Linked DNA regions of Tamandua tetradactyla. The protein of the gene in region 3 interacts with the protein of the main gene of each other region in a pairwise test. Links are inferred from orthologs where the notes say so. Each region holds a gene or a part of one and is shown on either strand. Other genes may lie near its edges.

Region 1 (8,052 bases), on a different chromosome or scaffold from region 3:
GAAACTGCCGGGATCCATCTTCAACTGGCTTCCAAAGGAAGACCAAACTGATGATGGGAAAATCCACAGGAGGGAGAGGAGGAGAGAAAATGTGGTTGGGAGGGAGCAATAGCCCCTTCCTTTCTGGACACACGAAGGCAATGGTGAGGTTCTTTAAAGCCCTTGGGTGAACTCATTCATTTTCATGGTTTTAAAAATGCTGAAAACTACCAGATATAAATCTTCAGCCCAGTCCCCAGAGGACTCCAGGCATCTTGAACTTAACATATCCAGAATGGAAACTTTGATTCCCAATCCCCACCAAAGCCTTTTCTTCCCCAGTTCAGTAAATGGCATTACTTTCTAGGCAGTGGTTGAAACCAGAAACATGGGAATGAGCAGTCTTCATCTTTCTTCTGCTTTGGTCCTTACATCCACTCCAACTATAAGTCCTGTCCATTCTAGAGAAATTTGTCCACTTCTCACTATCCCCCTGGACCCAAAGTTCAAGCAACCACCTAACACACTTGAATTACTGCAACAGCCTCCTAACAGGTTTCTTACTTCCACTTCATCAGTCCTCCAATCATTCTCCACAAAGCCATCAGAGTGAATTTTTTAAAACCATAAATAGGAATATGTCATATCTCTTAAAAATCTTCAACAACCTCCCACTGTTCATAGAATAAATCTAAATTTCTTCCCTTAGTATATAAGGCTCTGTGGGACCAGGGCCCCATGTACCTCTCCCCCTCTTTTCCAGACCTGCTGACTTTCTTTCAGATCCTTAATCACACAAAGCTCTTTCTCTTCCCATGTTAGGGCCTTGCCATATGCTGTTCCCTCTGCCTGGGATGTTCTTCCCACCCCCACTCTTCAAATGGCTGCTCTTTCTTATTCATCAACATCACTTTAACGTTACCAACTCATTTAAGTAGGTCCCATCTATTCCTTTCTTAATCATAGTACCCTATTCATTTCTTTCCCAAAATTTCTTGTCTTATAATCGTTTGATTGAAATTTTTATTGTTGTTACTGTTAACTTCCACACTAGACTGGAAGCTCTGTAAGGATGTGGACTATGTCTGCTTCACTCACCACCACACAGTCATTGAATAGCTCTTAATTAATGCTCAATATTTCTTGGAAAACAGAATGTCACCCAATTAGGAAATGCAGTGGAATTTTTAATGCAAACTATAAAATATTGCTTTATTCATGCCATCATCACCCACCTAATAAGGCCTAAAAACTGACACTGTCCCAACCCTCCTCCCTCAGGGAATGAGGTAGTGTCCAACATGGCAAGGGCACGTGGGGATGGTCTGACATTGGCAAAACCAACTGACTGAAAGGGCCTATTGTGGCAGTTAGTTCTTATATCAATCTTATGGGTGGATTCTTTGTCTGAGTTTACTACATTTTATAGATGACAAAGTTGGGCAAATTTATCTTTGAAAATCAAGTTAGAGACTCAAGCCAAGCCGTGATGAAGACAAAGCCTGGCTCCTGTGCTCCACCTCTTATTCCTGTCTTTTTAGTTCTATTCTCCTTTCCCCAGCGTCCTCTGGCTCATCAGGTCCATTGGGGCTGCTTATCCAGATTAGCTACTGGCTCCTCATAGCCAGGTAAATTCATAAGACTTCCATCATTTCTGTTTTCAGGATCCTGCTTTTCCAAAACTAGCCTATTGAGTAAACTCATTTATTCTAAGGTAACAACCATTTCAAATACAAATTGCAGTTTAACAGGACATGTGGGAAGTACAGCTACAAGTATAGGAATGACTGACTCCTCTACCACAGGAAGCCAGACAGAATTTAATCTTTGGGTGAGTTGCTCAAACAACAGTCCCGCTGGCAGTTGCTGTTATTATCAATTTATATAAACCGGTATTTAAATAAGACACACATTCTCTTATTTGGTTCTCATAACAGACAGTGAGATAGAAAGATAGAATTATTATTCTCCTACAGATAAGGAAACAGGCTTAAGGAAGTTAAGTGCTAATGTCATCTAGCAGATGGCAGAGCCTGGATCCTAAACCAAGACCCCAAGTCTTTTTCTTCCATTCAAACCTTTCCCCTCCATAGGTCTGCCTCTTTTGTTGCCCACCGCAACTTGTGTTGAGAGCAAATTTTATCATGAACAAAACTGACCCTAGGAATCTTACTCTTGATTCATGTTCTAGGTCTCAATCTGCCTTACTCTGGATAATCATGAGTAGTTTGTGTCTGTTGCTGAAATACTGACCATAAAAGGTGCTGCTACAATTTTCTCATGAACAGCTGTAACACAGAGTAGAGAGATTAGAATTCCAAAATATCCAGTGATTTCTATTAACCCCATTCCATGCTTTGTATCTGAGAAATTTTGGACATATGGTATTAAGAAAACTTAACCGAGAATAGGGAGCATTATTCCGGCAGGTTGCTAAGTTTAAACTCAAGGTTTCCATCTTTTAAGCAAACAGAACAGATGGCAGACTCTGTCCTCCACCTGGTGGCCAGGTGTCCACACCCATTCGGCAATGAAAATAGATCAGTGAAAAGGCTCTCACTCCACCCTGAAGAGGTGATCAAGAAACACGTAGAACCTCAGTAATTAATTTCTCTATTTTATATATAAACTCGATGTTTTAAACATCTGCCTCTAACTTATTGTGTTAGATCCACTAATAACTAGGACCTTAAGGCGATGATAAGGCATACCTGAAAAGCACAGCTAACTAACTTGAGTTTTTATGGGTTATCAACTATTGGAATAGATCAGTTTTACAAGTTAAAAAAGGAGGGGGGGGGGTTGGAGGTGCGATATCCGATACCAAGACATTCTGAGCGTAAGGAGTAAAGTTCTGTACTTTGAACTTCATAGAAATGGAATGAGGTAAATGCTCTTCAATACATTTTTACAACAATCTTCTCTTTGGTGACTATAAAGACTTTCCAACGCCTCTGTTTTGAGTATCTTCCGTGAGGGGCGGGGGGTGGGGTGGGGGGAGAGGGAACAAAGAAAGGGTGGGAAGGATCTGGGCAGGACACCGCGTTTCCCACCCTGTTCCGCAGTCGGGTGGGGATCCCACCCGCCCCCAGCTTACGCCCGGCCGGCAGCATCCCGGGTCCCGACCCTACGTTACCGACGCCGGCGCCGGCAACACTGTTTTCTCCTCCTCTTCCTCCTCCAACTCCTTCAAGGCCGCCGCCTCTGCCGCTGCCGCCGCTGCCGCCAAGGCCTCCAAGGAGTCCTCGTTTTCGTACAGGGCGGAATCTACCCGGGTTTGGAGAGCAGAGGCCGCTAGCTTCGCTGCTCGGTGCGAGGTGTCCATCACCGCGCCGCCGAGGCCTGAGCGCCCGCGCTGGCCCCGGGCAGCGAAGCTGAAGCGGCCTCGGGCGACCCGCCGGCTCCTTACTTGGGGCGGGCGGTTACTAGGGGCGCGGTAACCAAGGACGCTACGGGCACCTCGAGGGACCAAAAGCCATACAAATTCCTCTCACTTTACCAAAGACGAGGGTCGGGTGTCTCCTGATTAGTGGAAGTCAGAGCTGAGTTCGACTGCTGGTTTGGAATAGACTGGAGGAAAAGGGAACTTTTTCTTCTCCTTCGCATTTCAACGCCTAAACGCAGATTTCTCACATTGTATTAATTAAATAACGCGTTTTATGTAGAAAATACACGTTTTATTCATTGAGATAATACGTTAGTAGAGACAGAAGCGGAGAGGAAAGGAGGAGATATTGTGTGGCGATGGCAGCTTTACATCCCTCTTCCTAACGTGTCCCACTCTTCTTTGATCTGACTGATAAAAGCCTGAGTGAGGAAGAGCCTGCCCTACCCACCAGTGAGTGACAGCCCAGGTAGCGTGAATCTGGCGTTTTTTTGCTTTGTCAGCTGAGTTGGAAGGCGTGAATTCCATGGGGACGGCAGACACAAGCCTTCGCCACCTCATCCCTATGAAGTCCTCCCACTCCGGGTCCGAGGACTTTATGTGGTACCTTCCCCCGGAACCAAGTGGTTATAAGAGACTCCGAGCCTCAAAAAAGTCAGCGAGGCGCAGTCTCAGCCCCGTGCTACCCAGCCCTTCCTACTTCCTGAAGCCGAGGCTGCCGCAATCCCCCTCCCCACTCTATCCTCTTCCCTCGCTGGCCCATTACCAGACCTCACCGCCATAAAGTTACAGAATTTTTCTCCATTGTGCAGCAGAACATCTAGAATCCATTAATAAGGTCTCAGCCCTTTTTATTTTTTTATTTTCCTGGCACTAAGTGATGCCAGGCTTCATAGGAATCCCTCCCTCTGTGCTCTGCCAACCTAGAGATGCTTTGCTGCATCACTTTGAATCTTTTTGCTTAATACACACGTGGAGTATGGCCTGATAGCTTCTTACCAAGCGTTCCTTGTTTGCTGATTGGGAGTGTGAGCACCTGCAAAACCCCCCATGCCCTCACCTTCTTCAGATTTTTGGCTGAGCATTTGCTTGGCACACTGGAACAAATGCTGGCTGAGTTCTAAGCATAAGGAACACCCAAGTCGCTTTCCGTACTTTGTATGGCAAGCCAAAAAAATATTAATCATCCAGTGAAAAGAATAAGGAGAATTTGAACAGTGCAATTAACAATCAGATAATGTATATCTATCAGATGATACATAACTAGCATACATGTATATTTAACACAGTTCGAGAATATCCATTCCTTTAAGCATACACGGAACATTTATGAAAGTACCCATGGTATTAAGTCATAAAACTAACTCAGTAGGTTTCAAAGGATTGACGTCATACAATCAACAAGCTCTGATCACTTAATACAATTAAGTTAGACATTAATAAAAGAATGATAATAAGAAAGACCTTTTCTGTACAGAAACTTAAAAACACTTCTAAAAATAATCCATAGGTTATGAAAGAATTCATAATGGAGATTAGAAAATATATAGAATTGAGTAACAACAAAAACACCGTATGTCAAATGTTTTAGATATGTGTGAAATGGTATAGTCACTTAAGAAAATAGCTGGAAAGTAGTTTCTCAAAAAGTTAAACATAGAATCACTATATGACTCACTCGTAGGCATATATGTAAGAGAATTGAAAACATATATCTATGGCCCTTTGCCACATGGCCTGGCATGTGGCAGTGTCTGCCAGTCTCTCCTTTGTCTTCTGGGTTTTGTTGATTTCAGCTTCTTGCCTTTGAGGCTTTCATTCTCTTTGTCTGAATTTCATTCTCTTATGAGGTGGGACACATCTTAACTGAAGTAACCCCTTCAAAGGGTCCTACTTACATGGGTTTACACCCACAGGAATGGATTAGATTTAAGAACATGTTTTGTTGGGGCGCATATAGCTTTAAACCACCACACACTTTATCATCAATACAGTATATACAAGTACAGGATACATGATCAGTGTACAATAAAGAGAGTGGTCAGAAAATTTTAATGAATGAATAATAGAGCATATCTGACATTTGCCCTTTACTAGCAAGTTCTCTCTGAATAAGTAGAAGAAATCTGAGGGGGGAATATTTAAAATCTTAATGAATAAGATTTTACAACTCTATGAAAATGTATTTACAAATTAAATCCTAGTATTGAATAAATTAATATTCAGTAAAATTTCTAACATACTATAATATCTCCTAATTATTTGTATGTTGTACTGGCTCAAAATTTGTTAGTAAGCACATACTACCAAGTACAAAGCTTTCTGCCTTTTTTACTTTATTATTACCTTATCTTAAAAAGAATTTACTAAAAACCCAGTATAGGATCACAGAATCCTTGATGACCTTAAAGATCATCTAATAATGATAATGATAATTGCTAGTGGTAATTCTGCCAGCTAGTATTCTAATTGTTTTGCTTATATAAACTCATTCCTTCCCTATAACAATCCTATGAGAGTAACTAAGCTATGGTTATTCTTTTACAGAGGAAGAGATTGTGTCACGGAGAGTTAAAGAGCTTACCCAAAGTGGGAAGTTGCAGAGCTGTGACTGGCACCCAGGCAGTCTGACCCCTAGTCCATCCTTTCCACACCACCTTCTCTCTTGGACTGTGCTGTCTTTCCTGGGATATCTCAGGGGATGGGGAGATCATGACTTCAAAAAACCCTGTCCTATTGTTGGACACCTCTATTTGCTTCCTTGTGATGTACCAAACTTCTTCCTCCTGTATATTTCTTACATTCGTCCTGGCTTGGTCATCTAGACTAGGGGCTTCAACCCAGATTCTTTCAGGTTTAGTCTGGGTATAAAGAAATGGTGATTTCAGGATTTTTCAAAAACTTGTCATTTGATGATATTTGTTCCAGTTTCTGGTTTGCTTTAGATCGCTACTAGCTAGCTTAATTTCTTCTTCCATATAATAACCCTTCATATGATAGAATGCAATATGATGTGTCCTGCCAACTTTTCTCACTGTATGTTCTTGGACATGCTATTTAACCTCCTTGAGACTCAGTTCTGTCATCTGTAATTTAGGGATAATAATACCTACTTATTGGAGTGGTTTTAAAATTAACTTAAAGTCATCATTGCAGGAGGTCATATACTCTCATTGATAAAGATATACCTGATTAAAAGCCAGAACGGCAGGGATCCTTTCTATAAAGCAGTAGAAGAAGTTGCTCAGAATTTGGGTTTGAGGATTGAAAATATCATCTATTCTCATCAAGAAATAGTAACTGTTAGCACTACTAACATCAGTCCTGCACAGCCAAAATTATATGCCATAAATCCTGTGTACGCCAGTTTGAAAGGCTGTATGTACCCTAGAAAAGCCATGTTTTAATTCTAATCCCATTTTGTAAAGGCAGCCATTTCTTCTAATCCCTATTCAATACTGTATATTTGAAACTGTAATTAGATCATCTCCCTGGAGATGTGACTCAATCAAGAGTGGTTGTTAAACTGGATTGGGGGAGATGTGTCTCCACCCATTCGGGTGGGTCTTGATTAGTTTACTGGAATCCTGTAAAAGAGGAAACATTTTGGAGAATGCGAGAGATTCGGACAGAGCAGAGATTGCTGCAGCACCATGAAGCAGAGAGTCCACCAGCCAGCGCTTTGGAAATGAAGAAGGAAAACACCTCCTGGGAGCTTCATGAAACAGGAAGCCAGGAAAGAAAACTAGCAGGTGACGCTGTGCTTGCCATGTGCCCTTCCAGCTGAGAGAGAAGCCCTGTGTTCACCATGTGCCTTCTTACTTGAGAGAGAAACCCTGAACTTCATCGGCCTCCTTGAACCAAGGTATCTTTCCCTGAATGCCTTAGATTGGACATTTCTATAGACTCACTTTAATTGGGACATTTTCTCAGCCTTAGAACTGTAAACTTGAAGCTTATTAAATTCTCCTTTTTAGAAGCCATTCCATTTCTGGTATATTGCATTCTGGCAGCTAGCAAACTGGAACACGATGACGCTGCAAACTAGAACACTGTGACGCTGCATACTGCGGTAGAGATACTATAAAAATTTTACTAGTTCTTATGGATAAAGAAGCAGCCAATGCTCCTATCCAAAACAAAGCAGAACTTTTATATGATGATGAAAATACAATTAATAATAGTGGAACTTCTATTCTTACACTTTTCAGATCTCCCACACAGGTAAAAAAACTCAACAGTAAACCCCCTAGGAGAACACATCCAAAAGTCAATGCAAGAGATAAAAAAATAAGTGAAGCAAACCTTAATAAGATCCCAATTTTCCTGTACTTATAAACATGACTGCATGATAAGCAAGGATAAATGGAATAGTAATAATTCTGCATCAAGCTCTTTATGTGTTCTCTACATAGAAAATAGCCTTTCTGGTGTAAATCCATCTGTTGAAACAACAGCAATTGGAACAAGTTTTGAAAATGTCCATCCAGACAGAAGTAAAAATGAAAATGTATTAGAAAATCAAGAAGTCAGACAGGAAATAAGAGCTTAAAAAGGAAACAGGTGGATTTCGATGGTGAAAATTTTCTCTCTGATAATGGAAATTAAGTGTTTCAATATAAAACTGCTAAGATACGTGTTCTAGTTTGCTAGCTGCCGGAATGCAACACACCAGAGACGGATTGGCT
Region 2 (7,588 bases), on a different chromosome or scaffold from region 3:
AAAAAATTTGGGCAACAAAATAAATAAGATAGCACTGAAATATATCCCTAAGAATAAAATAAATAAGTTCAAACTGATATAAATGATTGATTGGATGAAAAATACATAATGAGACAAACCTTTCTTACAGAAGAATTCCAATTAATAAATGTAGAAAGAATGAGGTCAATTTCTCTATGCCCTGGACCTATTCCACCCTAGCTCCTCAAAATCCTTGGCTGCATATACACACACACCCCTCAATTTCTCTCCATTGGTTCTCTTTTTAAATATAATATAACTTTTTTTATTAGAGAAGTTGTAAGTTCACAGAAAGATTATGAAGAAAATCGAATTCCCATACACACCCTCTCCATAAGTTCTTTCCAGTCCCTACATAAAAGCATGCCCAAGACACTCTTAATTTAAAAAAAAAAAAAAAGCAAACATCAAAATCCTCTGCATCAGAACTCTATTTACATTCTTTCCTTCAGAATCCTTTGTTGAAAACACTGTATCCTTCTCAATTAGCTACACTTTCAGCTGTCCTTCACTCTTCTCCTCAATGTACTACAATGTAGCTAACTACTCTATATGAAGTCACAAATGACACCTTAATCACCAAGTCTTCAAAACTTTCTTCAGTCCTTATCTTACTTAGCTTTCTCATGGCATGAGACTGTGTTCCGTAGTCCTGGTCCGTGAAGTATTCTCCTCCTTCTATTTCCCTGACAAATCTCTTGAGTTGACGTTTTTTCATCTTTGGTCTGTCTGGCACAGTTGGCTGGCTTCTTTCTCTCTAGTAGCCCACAACACAAATGTGGGCATTGTCCTAGATCTTCAGTCTTGTGCAACTCCATAATATGATCACTTACCTTGTCCTGTTGATAACACTTCCCAAATCTCTCTCTCATATATCTACCTGCTCCTCTATTTCCTTCATCATTTCACACCAGGAATGTTTTCCTAACTGGTCTTCTTCTCAGTTTTGCTAATCCAGCATTTACTTCACTGTCAAAATGATAGGTCTAGAACATAAATCTGATTCTATCATAATACAGCTTAAAAATTTTTTCCCACTAAATCCTCACAGCCTTCAGGATAAAGGTAAAGCTCCTTAGCTTGGTTCACAAGGTATTCAATGATTTGGCTTCTGAATACTTTGTCCTCCCCTAGTGATCCACCAGTGGATGCGCTTTCATTCCTCTCTGTGTCCTTTGCTGTTTTAAACCTGTGCTCTCTACAAGTGCCTACTGAGTACCTGCAATGAACTAAGTGTAGGTGCTAGATTTTGAAGACTTAATATGAAAAAATAGAATGACAACTATCTCAATAATGCTTTTTATATTGATTACATGAAGTGATAATATTTTGGATATATTAAATTAAATAAAATACATTATTAAAATTGATTTCATTTATTTCTTATACTTTTTAATGTGGGGTTACTAGAAATTTTTAAATTACATATGTGGTTCTCATTTGCGACTCAAATTATATTTCTATGGGACAGTACCACCCCAAAGTACCCTTTCTCTTCTTTCTGAACCTAGTTAACTTCTACCTATTATTCAAGATTAATTCAGGTAACCCACTAAAATGCATTCCAGGACATTCCCCCCACTGCAAGCCTGAGTCAGTGACCCCTCCTGTATGCTTTCATCCACAGGAACCTGTGTACACACCCCTGTTGCATACCACACTGTATTAAAATTACTGGTTCACCAGCAAGTAATTATTGGTCGTTCCCCCCACCCACCCCCACCCTCCGCAAACTGTAAGCTCCTTACAGAAAGGGATATCATTCTACATATAGTCAGACCATCAGACCTGGCACTTAAAAGGCACTCAAGGGAGAGCTATGGTGGCTCAGTTATGAGCCTGCCATGCTGGAGACCCAGCAGCAAGGCACTGATTCCTGGTGCTTGCCCATGCAAAAATTTTTTTTTTTAATTTTAATTTAAATTTTAAAAAGGTACTCAAAACATTTGTCTAACAAATATGAGTTACATATTCTTGGTCTGAAAGTTACTAGAATTTTAGTTCTTCAAGGAAAGCAAATCAGCAATGAATGAGCTTAGACTTGGGGAAAGGGGGAAGGACTATGAATTACAATGAAGAGATCAACAATGAGACAATAAAAACTCATGACAGAGTGGGCCACAGTGACTCAGCAGGCAGAGTTCTTGCCTGCCATGTGGGAGATCCCGGTTCGGTTTCCCGTGCCTGCCCATGCAAAAAAATAAAATAAAAGCTCACGACACACACCTGCCTCTTACAGTGAAAATAGGAATTTGCAGCAGTGATAAGGAGACTTGAACTCAATTTAGCATGCTGGGGCCACAGTTTTGTTCCTAAATTACTTAACCCATCCAACAAAAGAGTATGATTTGGCAGGTCTCAACACAAACAGCTAGAGTCCAGCACCTGTTCCACTTAAACAGCACATCATTACAGTTAAAAACAACAAATCTCTCTCACGAAACAAATGCTAATCTCAAGATGCTTCACCATGGAGCAATTTAGAAGAGTTATTATATGAAATGTGCCAAAGCATGAATTTATGGCTGATGTTTATTTGGCAAATATGGTTGGCACCAAGAGATGTTAAAAAACATGTATGCAAATAAAAGTTTTTAAGTTCTCAGACTTAAATATTTACATTACCATAAATGTACAAAGATAAACATTTATGTGAGTACACATTTAACGAATCCAAGAAACATGTTTTTCAATATGATTGTCAGGAAACAGTGGCATTATTCCTTTATGGGCCTTAGGGTATGCTCTTAAAAATGAATTCTGATAGAATGTTAATGGGGTATGAACATTATCAGGAAAATTTCTCAGTACTATCATTGGATAAAACGAATAGCCATAATATCATAATAGTTCAAAGCAATCTTATCTTTTCCTTTCACCAAAACATTTCTCTTCCCACTCTGGAATTGAGTTGAACATAAACGTCAATCCCTAAATATAGGGGAAGGGGAAGGACCATTATATCTACACATCAAAAAGCTTTAAAGAAAATAATTTAACTTCTTTCCCCCATAAGATAGTCACATTAGAGTCTCCTAAATAAAGAAATGATAAAATATTTTCCCCTCTTCCTTGAGAGGCTTGTTTTTTCACATAGCTTGTGACTTGGTCATAGCCAAAACTCATTAGCAATGGTATGAATTTTGCTTCCATTGTTAACTGTTAAACTCTGGGCTGAGGCTATTACTCCCATTTTTAAAGCTAAGAAATACCTACCATTATAGTTTACAAAACGAGTCACCAAAGAGAAGTGCCCAGAGACTTCAGAAAATAATTAGTGTAGTCAGTGAATTGAGATATCTAGAAATGCTCTGAGATTACAGGAGAAGCCATCATGAAGTGAGTATCCAAGATTGCTCACGGAAAGTTTTACCCCTGTGGATAATTCACGTTTTTCATTTCCACACTGCAGAGAGCAATATGAGTTCTCCTACTACACACATTACTGTATCACTTTAATTATCAGAAAAAAAAAAAAACTGTGGCTGAACATTCCATCTGTAAGTAGGCCCCAGAACAAAATCCTCAAGTCAATCTCAATTCAGGTGAAAAGCTGTTCACATACATCACCGGATGACCTAATAACAGTCTTTTATGTAAGTCTCCAAGTACTTAATTCAAGGTATAATCTCACCATATTTAATAGAGGCAGGGGAAAAAAACTTATTAGGTTTTCTATAGCAAGGCCAATTAAGATGAAACCATAGTTTTCCTCTAACTCATCACTACCCCCTCAACGCCAGCCTTCCAATAACTTCATTCCACAGCTCCCAAATTCCCAAACTTGGATTTAAAAAAAAAAAAAAGCAGATTGCAAGAAAGTAACATTTAAAGGGGGGAGGGGTACTTTTTCCTGTTGCTGTCAGCAGTCTTTAACACAGTCACAGGATGAAAAACGAAATCAAGCTCTCAGACAGATGATGCATGCGAAGGGGGGATTTTGGGCAGCAAGACCTCCTCGAAGGAAGCAAAAAAAAGTTGCAAGGACGATGAGTCAAAGGGCAAAAGAGAAAGAAATTGGCTAACCGAACCACTCAAAACCCCCAAACACCAAGCGAACCCGCAATCAGGGGGCTCACCAGCAGCAGAGGGAAGAGAGCAGGGTTTCTTCTCGACGCTACTGGCGTGGTTGCGCCGGATCCTCCCCGGCTTGGGAGCGGGAGGACGGTGTAGACTTAGCAGGAGGGAGAGGAGCCCTTCCAGCCCCGGCCTCCCGCGTCCAGCTTCTCCGGGCTTCACTTTCCACAGCAGCCACCCAGCCGCGCCCGGGGGCGTCCCTCACCGTCAGGTCCCAACTTTCCCTCCTCTGGGGGGCGCCGCGCGATCTGGGCGGCCGCCGAAGACGGGGGAGGAGGCGGCGGGGGGCGCGAGGGGGTGCGCGGCGCCGGCGGGGCGCGAGGCCAGCCGGAGCCGGAGAGACCGAGCGGGGCAGGACGCACTGGCCGCCTAAGCCCCCGCGGCGGCGCCAACCAGACCCCGCGCCGCCCGGCCCGGATTCCCGCGGGTCAGAGCCCTCACCCCGAAGCGACCCCAGCCCCATGACCCGAAGCGTGAGAAAGGAGCGGAGAGGACGCGGACAGCCCTCCCGTTACCTGAAGGGCGCACAACGCCGCCGCGGGGACCACCATCGCAGGCGTCCCGTTTCCTTCCTGGTGACTGCAGCCGCCACCGCTGCCGAACAACTGGCACTGACTAACAACAACTAGCAAACTACTCGCCGCCGCTGAGTCCACCGCGCGCTCCCGGCCGCTCGCCACCCGCCCAACCCACCAGCCTGCCCGCCTCCTCCCAGACCCGCGCGCCACCTTTCTGCGCGCGCACCCGTGCGCCGCTCTCCTCTAGCTCTTCCCGGGAGCGAGCACGCGCGCGCGCACGGGCCCTCAGCCTCTCTCGCCTCTGTGTAATGGGAGGAGTCAACGCAAGTCCCCTCCTCTCCGCGTTCCCATCCAAGGAGGATAAGACCTAAAAGCGATTGATTGGCGGGGGGGCGTGGCCATAGTCAGAGGGCGGGGCGACAGGGCCGACAGCCCGCAAGAAGGAATATTTGGGTTCAATTAAATACCAGAGGGTAAAGGGGAACGACGTATGGACCATTTGACTATGTCAGCCTGCTGTTGACTTCAGAATATGTGTTTTCAAGGACTGCTGTGCATAGTAGTAACCAATTTAACATCGCTACTTCCTGCGGGTTTTAGAGAGAAAATAAAAGAACTACATCTCCCAGAAACCTTCGCGAATTGCCGCACCTTGCGTAGTCACGTACTACTTTGCCGCGTTTGAGCAAAATAATCCCTTAATTTTTCTGCAGGAATCGGAAATATTTCACTTTTCTCCTCACCGGAACAATTTTAAATGTTACTGCGATAAGAGAAGCTACCTATGGGGAGGTGGTTAAGAGATTAGGTAAGGAGAAAGAAAGGACATAAAAATAAAGTGCTGCGGAGGAATTTTTGTCAAGCTGTGAGACAACGACGTGCGAAGAGTGAAGGCGATTGAGAGGGGCTGAGGGAATTCTCCTCTGTACAAGGGACTTTCTTTAGGTCCCAGGCCCCTGCTTGTCTCTTTCGTCAGCAGGTCAGTAAGCAAGGCGAGTTTGGGGGGTGACCACAGTCGAAGTGTCCTTTAGCCCATGAAAATCATCCATCTTTTGCCGTTGTTGTTACTGGTTAGCTACGGATTGAGGCTGATTGAATGGGGGAGCCTCACTTCCGTTGGGGGAGGGGTGATAGGCTGTCCTGGGGTGGGGGAGGACGTAATTCACTTCCTGTGGGGGGTAGGCCAATGGTTTTGGGGTGTCCAACCCACTTCCAGTGCGGACGAGGGTTTGAGAAGGTGGTTGGTGCTGTTTATATAGATGGAATCTTCTAGCTTTGGGACTGTTTGTTTTTTTTTTTTTTTGTAAATTAGGTTATTCCATCAAGTTGTGCTAATCCCCTGCCTCCAACCAGAATTTATGTGAGTTTTATTACCAAATGCAAGATGGAAAATTTCCTCCACAACAGAAATTTCCTAATGCTTTTTTACTTAAAAGAATTCAAAATCGCTTTTTAAAATTCTCCATCTCTGCAAGACGAGATACTTTCTTGTGTGACTCATGGATTGCCTACCCCGCTCCACTAAAGTCCAGCCTTGGTAGTGTTCTCTGCCTTGATATGCGCTCTGTAGCTTCTCTTTTTAAGGAGGTCATTTATGAGAGGACAGAATATTTTACTTAAGTTATGAGGCATCTTCACGTTATCAGAGTGAAAGTGTCTTGCTGTAGTTCTCAGATATTTGGTGTCACCTTAACTAACATAAAAAATTTGGTATATTTAAATTCTTATACCTGTTGACTCCAGACTACAGGTTTTGCCCTGTGCTGGAGAACAACTCCCTCAGGCTTAAAAATTCTTAAATGTGAAAGTTGTATTTTAGTACATTGTCCCCCCTTGTAATATAATTAAATTGAGCACCGATTTTTTTTTTTAAAGTGGTATCTGTTCTTTGCAACTTTAAGGTTTATGGTGCCTGAGATTCAACCCACATTTTAATTAGGGGGGAAAATGGATTCAAAAAAGAATAAAAGATGACTAAAAAAGAACTTTCCTTTTTTCCTGTATTCTCTATTTTTTATAAGAAACTGTGTAGAGAGTGGTAATAAACACGCAATAGTTTTGATTCCCTGGCTTCTATTGTGAAGTATCACAATATTTGCCTTTGCTTGTGTGTGCGCGCGTGTGTGTGCGCGCGCCTGCGAGACATGTGCTAAAGGACTCTTTAGAGCTTACTTTGTGAAATCTCAACAGTTTTACTAATTTTAGAATATCAAGTGAACCTAGGACTGTAATGTCTTTCAAGAATATTTTAAAACAGTAAGTCCTGTACATGTTTTCCTGTGGGATTGTTACTTAATCTAGCCTTAGAATTTTTAATTTTTAAACTTACTTTTGAAAAGCTATTTGGGAAATGTGTTTTTAACCAAATATTATAATAAAGGGGGAAAATACATGAATAAAATATTTATTGAGAAACAATATTGCCTTTTGGAAGCAAAGGAGTATATTAAATTGGTATTTATGCTGTTCCATGGAAGAAGAAAGAAGTATATAAAGCACAAATCTTAAAAGATGTTTTATGATAAGTGGCAGTTATTCACTGGTTCCATGAAAGAAGAAATATTAGAAAAGCTTGTGAAAAGTAGAGAGGGGACAGTCATGGAATCAGTCTGTTCTTTCAAACCTAACTCTGTGGAGAGACTTGCTATCTTCCAAAGCCTCCTTTGGAGGTAGTACCCTTTGTTGCAGTTTTCTGTGTGCCTTTTAATAGAAAAACAGTATTGAAATTAGAAAATAAAGATTTTGTATGTGGACTCTTGTGACTTTGAGTGAATGAATTTGAGATTTTCAGTCCGTTACTTGCCTTCTTAAAGGGAGCATAATTTTTTTTTTAGAGCATTTAGATTAGGTAACAATTTTCCAAAAGTTGTCATTGGATACACTGTTCAGAGCAGTTTGAAATATTGAAACAATAGGTCAGAATTCTAGGATTCCGTGTCATTGAAATTTGTTTATTCACACAATGCTAGATG
Region 3 (8,456 bases):
GGAGAAAATGGAGAGACAAAGAGAAGAGAGAAGGGTGAGAATAGTAGAGAAAATTTAAGTAAAAACACTGAATTAGGTTATTTTTTTCTGCCATGCTTCAAACTGTCAGGGGAAAAGTACTTGAATGGTAACATAGGTGGCCACCGGCCCTCCAGTCCTAGACCTGAAAGTTACCTTGGAGCTGCTGGATCTGCTTGGTGAACACCTCTGCCTGCTGGGCACTGGCCAGCCGCTCATCCTCCAGGAGACCTGCAGAGAGAGGAAGGAACAGAGTCAGACAGGAGCACAGCACCTTTGAGCCCAGGCCCTCAGTTCCCGACACAAGCACTCACCCTGCAGCTCCAAGGAGTCATCCTCATGCTGCCCGGCCAGTTCCCGGGTCTCCTCCAGCTCTGCCACCAGCTGGAGTACCTGAGCCCTCAGCTCCTCCAGCTCCGTCTCCGTGAGGCTTAGGCCCCGGTGCTTGCCAATCGACAGGGAACCCACACTGCCACCTTTCTGCTCTTGTTCTTCCTCTTCTTCCACCTCTTCTTCCTCCTCTTCCTCCTCCTCCTCTTCATAGAGAGCTGGGAGTAATACCTCCCCTGGGAGAGATGTCCATCTCATCAGAGTAAGAGCCAACTGCTTTCCCACAGTCCTTTAAGCCCTCAAACTCACTACCCCAAGGCAGAGATAGTATAATAGTGCCATCTGGTGTCCCCCACAGAGGGACAGGACCCAAGCTCATGATGAGTCATTGGGTGTGAGTGTCAAGTTTGGAGGTAGCGCTTCCCAGGCCCTTTGCACCTGCACCATCCTACCACTGCCTTTGGGCAAGTGGATTAGCCTGCTGCTGGCTCAGTCACGTGCAGCTTGCACAAGATACTTGGTTCTTCTAATCCTGATCTTTGGATAGTGGGACAAGTGGCCAAGAAAGAATTCAGACACTGTGCATGTCTTTAGGTCGAATGAGGCAAGAGTTATGCTTCAGAATTTGTAGACAGTTAAAAAATTATCTGGGTGGCTTGTGAAAAATTAGTCTTTCTATAATAAGAAAGCATTTCAGTAAGAAAAAACATCCAAATAAAATGATTCATAGTGTTTTACTGGACAAACTTTGGGGCCCTATCAAACGTTATGTTATTAAGTAGCTTTTTTGAAGTTTTCGACAAGGCTGACTCAGCCTTCTTTTCCCTGCTGGATGCCATGAGGTCTCCTCTCCTCTACCTGAGTGTTATGACGCCCCACCTCCTCCCTTGCTGACCATAAGGCAGTTCTCAGGGGAAGTCTTAGATTGTCCTTGTGTGTAAAACAAAGCTCATCATTTTAGTGCATTAAGAACTTGGGGTGATAGAGCCTCAGTCTCTGGCTAGTAAGCATCCCCTCCTTACTGCAATGCAGTTACTCTAAATAACAAACTCTTGTCTAGATAGTGATCGTTTGCTTTGTTTTAAATCCCTGAATCTCTGGTCTTATTTTCTCCAATCAGCATCCTGAGGTTCACCTGGGTCCCCTTGCATCATCTGTTCCTGTTGGGGACAGCAGGGTATGCAGAGGGGCCTGGGGACACTTCACAGGAAGTCCTGAAAAACAGACCAGTGTCTTTCCAGGGGACAGTGTGGGCCGCACCTGACAAATCACATGCGTGTGGTGGGATGTTGGCCCTCTCATCTGCTCCCTTCCTAGGCCCTCTCTTTCAGGCAGTAATCTGTCCTAGAGAACCAACGCCACAAAGCTTCCATCAGAAGTTGATGGTGGTGGCACCAGAAAGACAGCTCAGATGCCCACCCCCTAATTTTTTTTTTTTTTTCCGCATGGGCAGGCACCAGGACTCAAACCCAAGTCTCTGGTATGGCAGGCGAGAATAAGGCGAGTCACCACTTATCACTGGGTGGGTAAGCAGTGATAATAACCCCCTGCTGAAAGGCTGCGTCAGAGCTCTGACCAAGCAAGGCCTCTTTCTTTGTCTGCCAGCTCCCCTGGGACACACAGCCTGGTTAACGAGGTGACAGAAGCCCCAGAGGGAGGCACCCTGGATTTCCCTTTAAAGCCTGAGCCCTGGGGAGAGGGCTGAGGTGAACTGAGGAAGGGCTGTGTCCCACTTGGGAGCTCTAGGGGTCAGAGAGGAAGTGAAAGGGAAGGGAAATTGGGCGTGTGTTGGGGGATGGGGTGGAAGCCTTTCGGGAAAACTCACCCTCCATAGCTTGCATTCCTCGGCGTTCCAGGGACCCCCAACGTTGGCCTCTCTTCCTCTCACAACCCTCGGACCCCTCATAGGAGCCTAAAGTAGTTACTGTTGGTCCTGTGCACAGTGAGAGGAGGGATTGTGGAATGTGAGGGCTTGCTGGGGGCTGGGGTGAAGGGAGAAAGATAGAGGGACATGCCATCTAACCCTTTGGAGCCCTGGGATTTTTAATCCCAGTGGAGGCCCCTGACTCACTCTTGTCCAGCTCTGCAACTCGACCGCCCTACCTGGGGCGCGCTCACACTCGGGCTGCCAGAACCCCCAGCTCTGTACTGCCCAACCTCATCCGCACCTCCTCCTTTAAGCTCCTCTGTCTTGCACAGTCAGAAAGAGGGTGTGTATATATTTAGCCCGGAAGGGATAGGGAGGAGGTAGGCAAGATAGAAGAGTCTAAAAGGCTGATGTGGCGAAAGGAAGGGGATGGAGGTGATGGGGGAGAGGGCTAGGGGAGGGAGCTGGGGCCGCTCCCATTCTCTCAGGGGACCTCGTCCCTCCCTCCTTCGCCCCGCACTCCGGAGCCTCCGGGGCCATTGGGTGTTCAGGGTCTGGGCACCCAGGGGCTGTGAGTATTATCGGGGCTGGAGAGGCCAAATGGAGAGGACTCAGGGGATGGACTGCCAGGGAGGATGCGGCCAGTGTGTGGAAAATGGAGACCGGGGCCCGGGGGGAGGACCAGGATGGAGGGAGGAAGACTTAGGGAGGAAAGGTGAGGAGCAGAGGAAGGAGGAAGGGAGGACCTGGTGGTCTAGAGGGAGGAGAGATGGAGACGAGGAAGGAGTGGCGGTGGTGAGCAGGGAGGGGGGCGGCTCTGACCTGGGCCCGGGCAGCTCCAGCCCGCGGCTCCCGCGCCGGCCCCGGCGCCCGCCTCCATGGCCGCTCCCTCAGCAGCCGCCGCCGCCCGGAGAAGAAGCCGCAGCCGCAACCGCCGCCGGAGAGGCCGGGGACCCGGAGCCCGGAGCGCCGGGAGGAGGGAGGGCGGGCCGAGGGGGCGGGCCCTGGCTGGACCACCTGACGCCGAGCCCGGCCGGCTCCGCCCGGAAGCCCGCCCCCCCGGCCGGCTCCGTGACTGGGCGAAGCGAGCGGGCGCGGCAAGGCGGGCGAGCCCCTCCGACACGCCCCGGTTCCCGCGCTCAGGGAGAACCCGGAGCCGCCGGGCCCGGACCCCCGACGCAAGCCAGCCGGAGCTTACGGGCTGCCACGAGTGGGAGCCACGAGTGGGAGCCACAAGCTCCGCTGCTTCTCGCGGTGGGCCCTGCCCCGAGTCGATTGCGCGCGGGGGTCCCTGTGCGCCCTGTGTCGGAGCCCGGTCCCGTTCAGTGGTGGTGGAGGGAAAAGGCAAGGATGGATGAATCCTCCCGGCCTGTTTCCTCCAAGCGCGCAGACACTCGCGCACACTCCCCACCCTCCCTCACCAAGGAGGCCCCGCGCCCTCCACGTCCCCGCCGTCAGCGCCGACCCGGGTCCGGGGCGCGGGTTCCCGCGCTGCAGGCCGCGACTTGCTGGCCCCAGCCCAGCGCCCTGGCCTCTCGCGCCCCAGCGCAGCCCGCTGTCGGGAGGAGGGAAATTGAGGCCGGGATATGCCAACAGCGGGGCCGGATTCACTTTGCCTTCCCCGAGCTCTCAGCAAGCCTGAGCCAGGGGCCTTTTTAGTAGGGGCTCCTTAGTGACCCCACTTGGCCCTCCTCTCCCTGCTGCCACTCCCATGGGCCTCGAGTCACGTCTCCTACCCCGCCCGGCAGCGTGCTCAGAGTGAGCAGTGCTGATTTTCACCCTCATAGAAAGGTTTGGAAGCCAGTGGGCATATGTCAATTATTCAATCATTGATTTAAGGAATGTTTACATCTTCTCTTCAGGTCTCAACCCCAAAAGAAGTGAGGACACTTCCCAGCACGTTCAGAAAATTGTTGGGAAATTCCTAAGCTGGGAAGACCACCAGTCTCTTCCCTTGCTTAGCCCCTCACACTGGCCCTGGACGTATATTGTCTGTGTTCACTCCTACAGGTTCCCAGGTTCCCAAGTCCTCCGTATCTGAACATTCTGTTTCACAGAAAGTAAGCCTTTCCTTCGTTTACTTTCCACCCCTCAGTTTGGAGTCACCTCTAGGCAGCCTTCCCTGAGGCCCCGGGCTACCCCAGGGAGGTGCCTTCTGTGTTCTCCGGTAATACCCGGTCCTCCTTTCCTCTGTTGCAGCACCAGTCATTCTGGGTTGTCAGAATCTGGTTTTTACATTTCTATCTGCCCAATGTCTTGAAGGTAGGGAAGTATCTTAAGTCTTCTTTGTATCTCCAGCACCTGACAAAACGCCTGATAAAAAGGAAAAAACTAATTAAGGTAAATCTCCCAAATTTACCATTAATGCCCCTGTCTTATCATGGAGCATAAGACTTCACACTTACAGGGTTAAATGTTGTCTAGAAATGCTGTAAGTCTGTTCATCTCTCTTTCACCCTTCTCCCCACCCCCAATTGTGGTTCTCAGAGATGAGGAACAGAGAGATCCAGGGTGTTTTCCTGAAGAGTTTGTGGGTAAGGTGACCCAGTCTTGGGAAAAGACTGCTGAGAAAGCCCACCTGCACCCCTTCTAGAGGGCCAGGTGCAGACATCAGGCCTGTCCAGATTTGAGGAGCTGGGCTTTTGTCAGGGGTGGTGGAAAGGAGCTGGCAGTGGTAGTGGGATGCATAGAAGCCCTGGGAATGATGGAGACTCCTGCTGGAAGCCGGATGACTGCGCATTCTTCCCTGCACACTCCTTGTTCCAGCTCAGCCCGCAGGGTCAAGTTAGCAGTTGGCCTTGACTACTGACTGTGACACTCTAATCTCTCCTCAGGGAGGGCTGCTGATTCTGAGGATCAGGACTAATCTCTCTCTGGCTTCTGGTTCCCCTTAATTTGGGAATACTCAGAGGAAACCAAAACCAGTCTATTCTCAGGACCTAAACTTGGGCAAAACCTGGCCAGACCAGTACTGGGTTGAAGGTGGGAGAGGGTTTAGGAGGCAGAAGAAAAGGGTTTAGCAGGTATGGGTGTGGGGAGGGGGAGATGGACTGTGGTCCAGGGGTGCATCTCAGAAGAGCCCAGGAGTGTTGGAATGTCAGCCAGATGATCATCTTGGGCTGGGGGTGGAGGTTGTATGATCCAAATTAATCCTTGTAATCCCTGGATTCAGGACTCACTTCCTTCCTAATCCCATCCCAGCAGATCAGCCTTCCTGAGGACTGATAGAGCCATTTATCCCCTTTCCCCTTATTTCTAAATGCCTAGATCCTTTCATTAAAAAAAAGAAAAGGTGTAAACATTCAAAACATGCAGAAAATTACAGTAAAAAGAATAATATAACTAATATCCCTGTGAATAGGGTGAAATTCATGAGTGAATTTCATGAGTGAAATCCAACAAGTGTTAATATCTTTTCATTCAGAGGCAGCCTTTCTGTATGTGTTTTTACAGCTTTACTGTATATGTGTGTATCCACAAACAATACATAGTATTGATTTGTATGATTAAAAACTCTAAATGGTGTTATACTGTACACATTCTTCCTCAAACCTCCTTCTCTTCCCTCAATATTTATTTTAGATTTGTCCGTGTTTTTATACATATTCTTCCAATTCATGAATTTCAACTGCTGCATACTATTTCATTTTTTAATATACCATAATTTACTTCTTTATTCTTCTGCTCTTGGACATTTAGGCTACCTCCAGTATTCCATATTATAAATAATGCTGCAATGGACAGTATTGTGGATGCCTCCTTGGATATATGTGAGTATTTCTCTAGAATAGATACCTAGAAGTGGAAGTTCCAAGTCATAGATTATGTACATCTTAAACTTTGCTTTTATTGCCAACTTACTCTATAAAGTAGTTGGACCAATTTATACTCCACCAAAGGAGGCTTACTTTCTTTTTTTTGTCCCTAACCTCTACTGATTTGGAAATTTACACATTCTATTTCTACTGTTGTAGGATTACTTTTTTCATTTGTTTGTTTGTTTGTTTTTTTAGTGATTACCTTTTAATATATATTTTTAACAATCTTAAATCTAAGGTGAATCAATCATTATTATCATCATCTGCCTGAGTAACATAAAGACCTTAGTAGAGTTAATTCTGCTCTTTCCCTATGATCTGCCACATTTCTATTTAGTATTTTACCTTGTTTCTAATCCCCATTAATTGTTGATGTTGTGGTGGTGGTGATTATTATTATTATCATCTCTGGGGTTAGTGATTATTTGGATTTACTAACATATTTATACATTTCTTTGTTCATCATTGCTTCTCGCACCTCATTCCTTTCTTCTTGGTTCAGTTTCTTTCTTATGGAGGCTATTCTAAGGTAGCATTTAAGTAAAAGTCTTTGAGCGGTAAGCATTTTCAGTCTTTTGTCTTAAAGTGTCTTTATTTTACATCCTGGAAAAGATAATTAAGTGGGCTTAGAACTCTATGTTTACAGTTCTTTTGGCTTTTTGAAGATATTCATTTTTTCTATAATTTTTCATTGCTAATAAGAAGTTGGCTGCCAATATAATTGTTTTCTTGGTTGGCGAATATTTTCTTTCTGGTTGATTTTAAGATTTTCTCTTCCTTTTCAGCATTCTGCATTTTTACCCCAATGTGTTTATGTGATTGGGACTTGGTTTATTTTCTCAACTTGAGGACCTGTGTTTTTCTTCCATTTTGGAAAATTCTCAACTGTTTTCTATTGGAATATTACATTTCCCCTATTCTCTCAGTCTCTTTCAGTAACTTTTATTAGATATATATTATACTTTCTCGTTCTTTCCCTCTTTCTTTGAACTATTCTTTCATATTTCCTATGCCATCACTTACCCACATTTTGAATGATTTCATCACCTCTATTTTCTTTAATTGAATTCTTTCTTTAATTGAATCTAATCTGCTATTAAATGCATCAAGTTTTAGTTTCAATGGTTGATTTTCGTTTCTTGACATTTTATTAGTTTTTTTCAAAAACCTGCCTTTTTTCATAGTGCCTTAGTTTTACATTACAGTTAATTTTCCTCCCTTTATTTTTTCTTTTTATGTTCTACATTATAGGAAATTTCAAAATTATATGAATGTAGGAATACAATATTGAACATCCATCATCCAACTTCAATAATTATAAACTCACAGGAAATCTTGTTTCATCTAGAACTCCATCCGAAGTCCACCTCAAATATTTTTAAGCAAATCCTAGATTTCATCTATATTTCTTTTAAAAAACCTAACCATAAATAATATCAAATAACCAGCTGGCTGATTCGAATGATTTAAGTAAGACCCATACCTTGTAACTGGTTGCTATCTTACTTTAACCTCCTTCATTGAATGTATGGGTTCCCTATTTTTCCTTGTTTTATTTTTGTTAAAGTCCTTAAATATAGCTTTTTTTTAAAAAATAAAAGCAGAGCCCATAGGCTTTCCTGATGGATTGGATATGGGATGTGTAAAAGAGAACTCAAGCTGAATCCAAGTTTTGCCTGAGAAATTGAAGTTGTTATCATGTGAGATGGGCAAGACAGGAAAAGGTTGTGGATGTGACCTGTTGAGTTGTGTTGGTCTATTAAGCCAGCACTACCCAAATGCAGTCCATATACCTGTTGTGCTAGTTTGAAACTGTCATGTACCCCAGAAAAGCCATGTTTTTTAAATCTTCATTCAATATTGCTAGGTGGAATCTTTTTGATTGCTTCCATGGAGATGTAACCCACCCAATTGCGGGTAGTAACTTTTAATTAGATGGTTTCTATGGACATGTGTCTCCACCCATTCAAGGTGGGGTTGCTTACTGAAGTCCTTTAAGAGGGAACCATTTTGGAAAAAGCTTTAGTACCAGCAGAGCCCAAACAGCCAGACATCTTTGGAGATGCAGAAGGAAAATACCCCCGGAGATGCCTTATGAAATGAAGAGAGAAAGCTAGCAGATGTTGCTGTGTGCCTTCCCAGGTGAGAGAGGATGTCCAGAAGCCAAGACCCCAGCAGACACCAGCTACATGCCTTCCCAGTTGACAGAAGTGTTCCATATGGTATCAGCCTTTCTTGAGTGAATGCAACCTCTTGTTGGTGCCTTAATTTGGACATTTTCACAGCCTTAGAACTGTAAACTTGCAACTTAATAAATTCCCTTTTTAAAAGCTGTTTGGTTACTGGTATATTGTATTCTGGCAGCTTTAACAAATTAAAACCCCAGTGCTGAACAACAAATTGTTGAACAAAGGTTCAAATGC
Region 4 (8,136 bases), on a different chromosome or scaffold from region 3:
AAGAATTAAGCAGCTGGGGAAATAAAAACATTGCTTGTGAGCTCTGCATTACCACATTACCAATACCAAGCCCATGACAAATACCACTAATCAATCACATTACCCTTTTCCTCTACTGAGCCTAAGAATTTCTATCTTCCAGTAGAACTCAAGGTTGACATTAGAATTGAATTTATTTGTTTAAAAACAGCTATTTTTTAAATGCTGTTCAAGTCAACTGAAAAAACACCACAAAAAAACCCACAAATACATATTTATGTTTGATGGATTTATAATAAATTTCACTTATTTTGAAAATAAATTTCCCAAAACACAAAATAGTTTAGATTTTTCCCATTACAAAAAATAAAACATACGGTCAATAATAACCTTTATTCTGAAAAGATATTATTTTTAAAAACGGTAACCTCCTTACTTAAAGACTCTTATTAAAAGAATTTTAAAAATATGAACAGGAATTTTGAAGGTACAAAAAAAACCAGTATGATAGATAACATGTCAAGTCATAGAAAAAAAACACTAACTTTGTTAATTCAACTTGCTGTTTAAAAGAAATAGTTCAACAGTAACAAAACACTTAAGAGAATATATGGGATTAAGATTTCTGTCTCACTTCCATCCAACACAAATGTGAAGTAGAACACAGACTCCAGAAGTGAGATGATAACAAGGGAAATAGAAATAGAGCCCTGGAAGTCTAGGATCACACTGTGATGAGTGACTTTAGTATGAAGTTAACTAACAGCAAGTGAAAATCTGGATTCAGGAAGTTTTAATACAGCACTGTGGGATAAGTGAGCAGGAATTATTTCCTAAATACTCAAGTGTGGTAAAGAAAAAACATGTAATATTCTATTACAAAACCATTCAGCTCCTGGCCCAGCATAATAGTAAGATTCATACGTATATGGGTAAAGCTAACAGATATGACATCACAACCTCAGGGATATGTACACCATGAAAAGAGACATATAGCCACCCCAACATCAACTTCGATTTGAACTTATACTAAAAATAATAAATTGCTCTGAGAAAGTTAATATCCATTCGGAGAAATTAAGTATATTTTAAAATAGAAAATAGTTTTTCAGTAAAGTTCCTTGAGTAGAATCTGGTAAGATAGTCCAACCTCAAATCATACCTATCTTACACACTGCGAACCAACAGATATATACTCATTCAAACATTTTACTATTTCTTGTTATTTTAAAGACTACATAGTTTGAGAAAGCTTTTGCACCTCTTTCTACTCTTACCACGTATAAAAAGTATAATAGGCATTCTACACAGAACCTTTTTTTTCTCTCTAAACAAACAGGAGTAAAACCTGAGTCATCTGCAATGACTTGAAATACAGTGTGTGTATAAAACCTTTAAATATCTATTTGCATTCAACTGCCAGTTAGTGTTTTTTAATTTGGTCAGGCCACTCATTTGGTGGAAAATGGATTTAAAATTTGCCTAAATTGCTACACTACACTGCATATGAAAATTAAAAATAGAAGGTCAACTTTGCTACATCCGACAAATCATTTTGCATACATAGACATGATACCAGGAAAAGAAGGGGTGATATTTGGGCAGTTACTGCTGGAAAGAGCTTTAGAGAAATGCTCATTTACTAATACCTTTTTTTGGAGTGGCTTCAATTTTATTACCAGTACTGAGTAGTAAACAAAAATCATTTACTATATAGAACCTATGTGATAAACAGGGAAAGGAAATCTAAAGCCAATTAAGAAAGACATGATTTTCCTACCACTGTAAGGCATGAAAGAGGGTTGGATGGGCAGGACCCCTCTTACCTTCCCTGTCCAGAGAAACAAGTATCCCAAATGCGCACACGCCAGAACAAGACTCCAGCCTTTGGCAATAAGTAACCAAAAACGATGACTGGAACCCAGACTAGGTTCTTACCTCCTGGATACGTTTTCTGGCCCGCTGAAGCACTTCTTCATAACCCTTCTGCCGCAGCTCACTGAGGCTTTCATAATACTCCTCAGGGTCGTCGGTCTCGGTGAAGAGGACCTGGGAGAGGATCTTCCAGCCGCAGGTGTCCAGGCCGTGGCCCAGATAGACCTGGAGCTGGTAACAAAGGGTGTCGATCTCCTGCTCGGTCATCTCAGGGGCGCCCCCGAACAGCACGGTCCACATGCCCGAAGGTTCCTCGGGGAACACCGGGAGGCACGGCTCCAGCTGCGAGTTCACAGAGCACAGCTGCTGGTGGACGGCGCGCAGATCCTGGAAGGAGAAGAGACCGGCCCAGCTGCACTCCTCGGCCTGGGACTCCAGTTCGGCGGCGAGCGACGGCTGGCCCGCGTCCGAAATCAGGACTGCCTCGTCCTCCCTCACCATTTCCAGCACCTCTATCTCCTCGGAGACCGCCCCAGCGGTGCTCACCACCCGCACTGACGACACCGGAGCGTCCCCGGGCGCCGGAGGGGCTATCGCAGCGGCAGACGCTGCCGCATCTCTAGCTTCGGATTCTCTCCGAACTGGGCTGGACTTGGCCCGCACTGGGCTCCTGAGATGACTCTCCACTCCTTTGCCAGCCGGACTCCGGAGCAGCGGGTCCCCGCGAAGACTGCGCGCGCTCCGCGAAGAGCCGCCCTCCACGCAGGCCGGGCTCCGCCGGGACCCCGGGCTCCTACCCAGAGCTGTAGAGGCGGAGGCCTCGGGCCGACCCTTGCCCGCCGGGCTGCCCGGCCCGCGGGTCCCATCGGACGCTGGTCCTCCGGATTCGGCGCCCCCTCGCGCCCCCGCCTGCTCCCGGGAGCCGCTCCTCTGCCTCTGGGCCGTCCGGTTGTGGCAGGTTATGGCAAACTTGCCCTCAATCTCGTTCCAGGCCACAATGAAGACGAATTTGTGCTTCTCGCGCTCGTCGAACACATGGGGCCGCACCGCCACCCAGTCCGACTCGAGCGTCTCCTCAAGCGCGAACGACATGGTGGCTCAGGGCGCGGGGCTGCGGGGGAGGCGCCGCCGGCACTGCCCGCCCGAGGACACACCGGCTGGCTGCGCCGAGCCCCCCTTTTGCCCTCACCGGGCGCCTTCAGCCATCTTAGCGCGCCGGCCGGCTCTTCCCGCTCCCTCGTCAGTCCCTCCGCACTCGGACCCGCCGCCCTTCTTTGTGGCGCGGCTCGGGAAAGACAACAACGCGTCCCCGGAGCAGGTAGTTCACATGGTCACGTGCGGCGGATCTGTTTACCAGCCCCGCGCAGCAGCGGCGCCTCACGCCCGCCCGGGCCGACCCCCGTGCGGCTGCGCCGGGAGCCCCTGGCGAGGCCGCGGTGCTGCGTCTGCGGCGCGCCGGAGGTGAGGCGCGGGTCTCGCGCTCCGGTCCGTGGGCGGCGACGGCCGTGGGTTTGCCTCCGCGGCTTGTCTGGGCCGATCTCCCCGCCCCTGCCTCCTCCTCCTCCTTTCCCCGGCCACCCGGAGCCTGCCTGACGGATAGGAGACTCTCCTAAACCGTGCGCTTCAGCATCGCCACAATGTTGCCATTCGGTTGCTGACGTCGGCGGCTCCACGAGGGACGTAAACACGGGCACGTGCCGCACGCTGGTGACGCGGCGGCGGCGTCGCGCGCATCCCGCCGCGCCGGCGCCGCCTCCCGGCGTCCCCCGCCTCCTTCCGCCGGCGACCGCGCTCCCGGCGTGGTTCAGTTCAGCCTTCGCCTGGGCTCCCGTGTGGGCGGCGTGCTGGCAGTCACCTGGGGGGCGCTGTGAGAGTGGCAGGTGTGCCCTGCGGCCCAGGTGGCGTCCGAAGCCCGGGGGAAGAGGAACAGAGGCAGGGGAGCTGAGACTTTTCGAACTTCAGGCATTCATTGGGATCCTAAAATGTAAATTTGCCTACGTTTTACCTGCGGGAGTCGGAAAAACGCCCAATAGCATTAACGCAACTATATGCTAAATTTTATTAGGCTTCCCAGACTGTTGGATTCTTCCCTAAAACCCTTGAGAAACTATTTAAGATATGAAAGGATGATGTCTGAAGATAACCCAGTAGTACTCCAAAAGAAAATAAAATGAAAATTCTGTCATGTTCTAAAAGGAGCAAAGTTTACTTTTCAAGCCATCGGTGTTTCTTCCCGTTTTATTATTGTGTACCTCCTTTTGAGGTCACTGGACTTGAGCTCTTCTAAAGTTTTATTCAATTATCAGAGTTCCTGAATGAAAAAAAAAAGTCCATATAAATCTGAAGAACTCCTGCTATTCATACTAAACTATGAAGAAACATTCTTAATATTGCTTAGTGGATTTTATAGTCCAGTTTACATTATTTTTTTAATTCTTTTTTTTTTTTTTTTACATGGGCAGGCACCAGGAATCGATCCCGGGTCTTCTGGCATGGCAGGTGAGCATTCTTGCCTGCTGAGCCACCGTGGCCCGCCCCGGTTTATATTATTACCTATCTCTGTCCTATTATGTGCAATTCGTATTACAGGCTTTCTGCACCCACAGCAAAGTACCCTAGGAATTATTTGTTCTTTTACTTTTATCCATGTTTCCAAAATATACTCGTTTCTTTGGACTAACTTTGCACTTTTAGCTATGTGTGATTCAGTGTTATCCTGAAATCCAAATAAACAGCCAAAAGTTTTAGCCCTGCGGCTCAGCTAGAGCTTTAGATCTATAGATCTGCTTTGACAAGAATAAATAAATAATGAGAGTCACTTCTTTGGACAAGCTAAGCAAAAAGAACTTTGGTTTTTTAAAGTTTTTGCAGTTCTGTATGTGGAACAACAGACTTTCAAGGCTTGCAACTGTGGACTTGTGTTCACTCTCAAATGCTAATAAATGTGTTCACTCTCAAATGCTAATAAAAAAAACTTTTGAAAAAGAGAAAAACTTTTGCAAATCTGAATTAATAAACAATAGACATAGAATCTGTCCTTTTCTATAAAAAATTTGCTACTAGAAGTTTTTCTAGCAAAAAGTTACTGACAATGATCACTAGCTCTCTTCTAGCAATGCATTATTGATAGGTTTTAAATCTCAGAATGAATGCTGACAATATGTTTGTGGGAGATACTTTTACTTATATGTATGTTAAAATTGTAATATTTATCCACAGATATAAAATTATGTATAACAATAAGGTTAGAGAAAATGGGTTTGTGATTCCACAGGTGTTAAATATTTTCCCCCAATACTCTGGCCACTGTCAAAACAGAAATGCTTCAGTGTTTCTTATTTACTCTATTTTAGTAATTGTCATCCTAGAAATGAAAAACAAAGCAAAATAAAATTCCCCTGGCAGTTTACTGTCTACTCTACTATCCTTTATTTAAGTCTTTATCAGATTGTCAGATAAGATCTCTCAGTATATAAATTACTCTCTGAGAATAAGTAAAGCTACAGAAAAACCACATACACGGTGGCAGCCTTGTAAAGGTCCTGAAAACTATTATCTCTAAATTTTTTAAAACTATTGAAGATTGTTAGATAATCAGGGAAATATTTTAACTCTTTAGGCCTTTTATTACAATTATAATAGCTTTACATAGCAATTTTTAAATTGCACAGCATTTTCAGGTACATATTCATTTTATCCTCAAAATAATCATGTCATAAAGGTATGAAAGGAGTAAGTATCTTTAATTTTATATATAAGCAAAAATCAGCTCTGATTAGTTAGGTCACACATCCCAAGGTTGGGAGTAGGGAACAACTAGAGTTCAAGGGCCTAATTCTAAATCCACTGCTGTGCCAATTAGATTCTTCCAGAAACAGACACTAAAAAGAAGCTAGCAATGGAAAGGTTTATGGAGGACCACACCTGTAAAAGAAAAGGAGGCAGAGAGCAGGATTCAGAAGACTAATCTAACAGGGAGCTCCAGAACAAAGAATACCCTGTAGAGATGTTCCCCATTGGGCAGAAATTGTTAGGCCTTAAGCATAACCTACAAAGCTGAAGTTAACTCCAAAGACACCAACAGCCTGAGGCTAACCCCACTCCTTACAGCTGAACAGTAGGTGCCATCTTGAAGGAGGATCTCTGTGACACATCGCATCTGCCACCGTTTACCTTGTATGCTATATGGATCTACTTCCCCATTACATATTTGGGGAGTAGCTCCTTCAGGGATCTAAACGGCCTCTTTTCCTGAGAGGAAACTTAAAAGAATGAGGTTAGTGGGATCACCTATAGTCTCCATTATTGCAGATGATCTCATGTCCCAAACTGATAATCTTCATCTCCCTTCCCCACTATCCATTCTAAAGTCCCTTCACCCTCTGCAGGCGTCAGTTGCTTACCTGGTAATATATCCCAAACCCTCATCCAGGAAAGGTCTGACCCTTTGGTAACTTTACCTGTGTGTAGCTTCCATCATTGCACCACTACATTTGTTACAATTGGGCAAGAGTGTACCAAGAGGCACCCAGGTTCTACAAGGATACTTCTCTGTTCCTATCATGTAACAGCAACCCTACCTCCTCCTGCTGATCAATGTCAGTTACCTTTGACGAGAGGGTGACTCCTCCTCTTGCCCTGCAAGAGCCCAAAGTGTCCCAGTGGCAGCTGTAACTTGGAGTTCAATGGGACCTTTGCTATGTCCTGGGCAAGAATGCATCCATTTTTGGGACCAGGACCTCTAACCCTGCAGAATCCAGAGCTGTGGATATCCCTGCCCCCTCATCCTCATTCTCCCCCCACCTCTCTTCCCTTTCCGGTAAGTAATTGAAAGTAATGGTAAATGAGAACATTCCCACTTCCACCCTGGAAGCCAGAACCATGTATTCGTCCTATAGAGCACACAGTGCTATATAAAGGTCAGTGATTCAATGCATATACCACATCCTGGAGATGGAACCCCATCCAGGTATTGCCGCTGAGCTGATGTTTCAGTTGTACCTTCAGCATGCCATTCCAGCATTGATTTAGGTCAGCAGCTTCTAGATCCATAGTATTTGTTATGACCTGTGCATCTGTAAAATGGCTTCCCTGGTTGGATGCAATGTTGTGTTTCATGTCTGTAGAACAGGCATTATATCAGTGGCTTGATAGTGGTGCTGGCTAAGACCTTGAAGGCAGGAAAGGTACACTTCATATCTAGATCGTCTATTCCCATGAGAGGAAAAAAAAAAAAAAAACAGCAATAACACTGGCCCTTCCAGATGAAAAGGGTCCAATGTACTACCAAATGACTCCTCAAGGAATAGTGCCATATTGGGTGCTCAGTGATTGTCTCCTTTGCTGGCAGATTGAACGTTCAAAGGTGAAGTTGCTAGATCAGCCTAGGTAAGTGGGAGTCCATGTGTTTGGTCTATGGAAAGCTCCATCTCTACCCCTATGGCCCTATCATCTGTTTGCCTCCCATGCCCATGAACATCCACTAAATGCTTTGTCCTCTTGGTTGTTGATGCCCATTCCACGTGGGTAGTTTCTGGTGACCATTAATGTCTGATACAAAAATCTTCACAACTTTGTTCCCACTCTCATGTAGTCACTTACATGTCTCTACTCAAGATCTCCTTGTCTCTGATCTTCTAATCTTTCTCCTTCCAGGTTCCAAACCATTCACCACGGTCCATGAGTTCATATATATTTCAACTTCAAGTGACTTCCCCTTTCAAAAATCTTGGATTAACAGTTGCACCTCTTGAAGGTCTACCCATTGGGAAGATTTTTCTTCATTGCTGTCTTCACAGTCATCCTTGAATAAAACTATAATGCAACCAGCATTTTGATTTGCACCCACATACCAAAACAGCCCATCCATAAACTAAGCTAGGGCTTTTTCCTCTTTCTTCAGTTGTATAGGGTCCCAGGAACACTGCTACATGATGTTGGGATGCTATGATAAGTGTCATGATGGGGCATAATGCTGGATACTTTTGGAGATTTGGACCCACTGCTTATGCAACTTGCTTGTGCCATCTTTTTCTGCTCGTGTTCAGTCCTAAATGTACCATTTCCATTTTATGATGGATTGCTACTGAGCCCAGATGACTTCATCACCTGTTGCCCAACTTATGATAGGCAATTTCGGACTCATGGTTACATGGTTAAGCATTCCAATTCTACCAGGGCCCATAAGAATGCTAGGAGCCACTGAATGAAGCTGCATGTGAGAATGATTGAGGAGGGCTGGGGACATAAATGAAATCAGAAAGAAAGATAGATGTTAAAGAT

What was found.
Region 1: the proteins of CCDC136 (region 3) and FAM161A interact in binary tests that used the Homo sapiens proteins (3 or more experiments, as listed by UniProt). The two-hybrid records come from large-scale screens. The link is inferred for Tamandua tetradactyla from reciprocal best matches to the Homo sapiens genes CCDC136 and FAM161A.
Region 2: the proteins of CCDC136 (region 3) and HMG20A interact in binary tests that used the Homo sapiens proteins (3 or more experiments, as listed by UniProt). The two-hybrid records come from large-scale screens. The link is inferred for Tamandua tetradactyla from reciprocal best matches to the Homo sapiens genes CCDC136 and HMG20A.
Region 4: the proteins of CCDC136 (region 3) and JMY interact in binary tests that used the Homo sapiens proteins (3 or more experiments, as listed by UniProt). The two-hybrid records come from large-scale screens. The link is inferred for Tamandua tetradactyla from reciprocal best matches to the Homo sapiens genes CCDC136 and JMY.

What each region holds. Positions count from the first base shown.
Region 1 is NC_135343.1:34,621,175-34,629,226, forward strand, and holds the start of FAM161A (protein FAM161A), read right to left. Parts: upstream 3,396-8,052; 5' UTR 3,305-3,395; coding exon 3,116-3,304; intron 1-3,115. UniProt on the Homo sapiens protein: Involved in ciliogenesis.
Region 2 is NC_135338.1:65,792,072-65,799,659, forward strand, and holds the start of HMG20A (high mobility group protein 20A), read left to right. Parts: upstream 1-4,437; 5' UTR 4,438-5,424; exon of another isoform or gene 5,425-5,595; intron 5,596-7,588. UniProt on the Homo sapiens protein: Plays a role in neuronal differentiation as chromatin-associated protein. Acts as inhibitor of HMG20B. Overcomes the repressive effects of the neuronal silencer REST and induces the activation of neuronal-specific genes.
Region 3 is NC_135327.1:170,216,049-170,224,504, reverse strand, and holds the start of CCDC136 (coiled-coil domain-containing protein 136), read right to left. Parts: upstream 3,111-8,456; 5' UTR 3,096-3,110; coding exon 3,038-3,095; intron 2,282-3,037; coding exon 2,174-2,281; intron 585-2,173; coding exon 333-584; intron 250-332; coding exon 175-249; intron 1-174. UniProt on the Homo sapiens protein: May play a role in acrosome formation in spermatogenesis and in fertilization.
Region 4 is NC_135347.1:52,427,610-52,435,745, forward strand, and holds the start of JMY (junction-mediating and -regulatory protein), read right to left. Parts: upstream 3,256-8,136; 5' UTR 2,947-3,255; coding exon 1,918-2,946; intron 1-1,917. UniProt on the Homo sapiens protein: Acts both as a nuclear p53/TP53-cofactor and a cytoplasmic regulator of actin dynamics depending on conditions. In nucleus, acts as a cofactor that increases p53/TP53 response via its interaction with p300/EP300.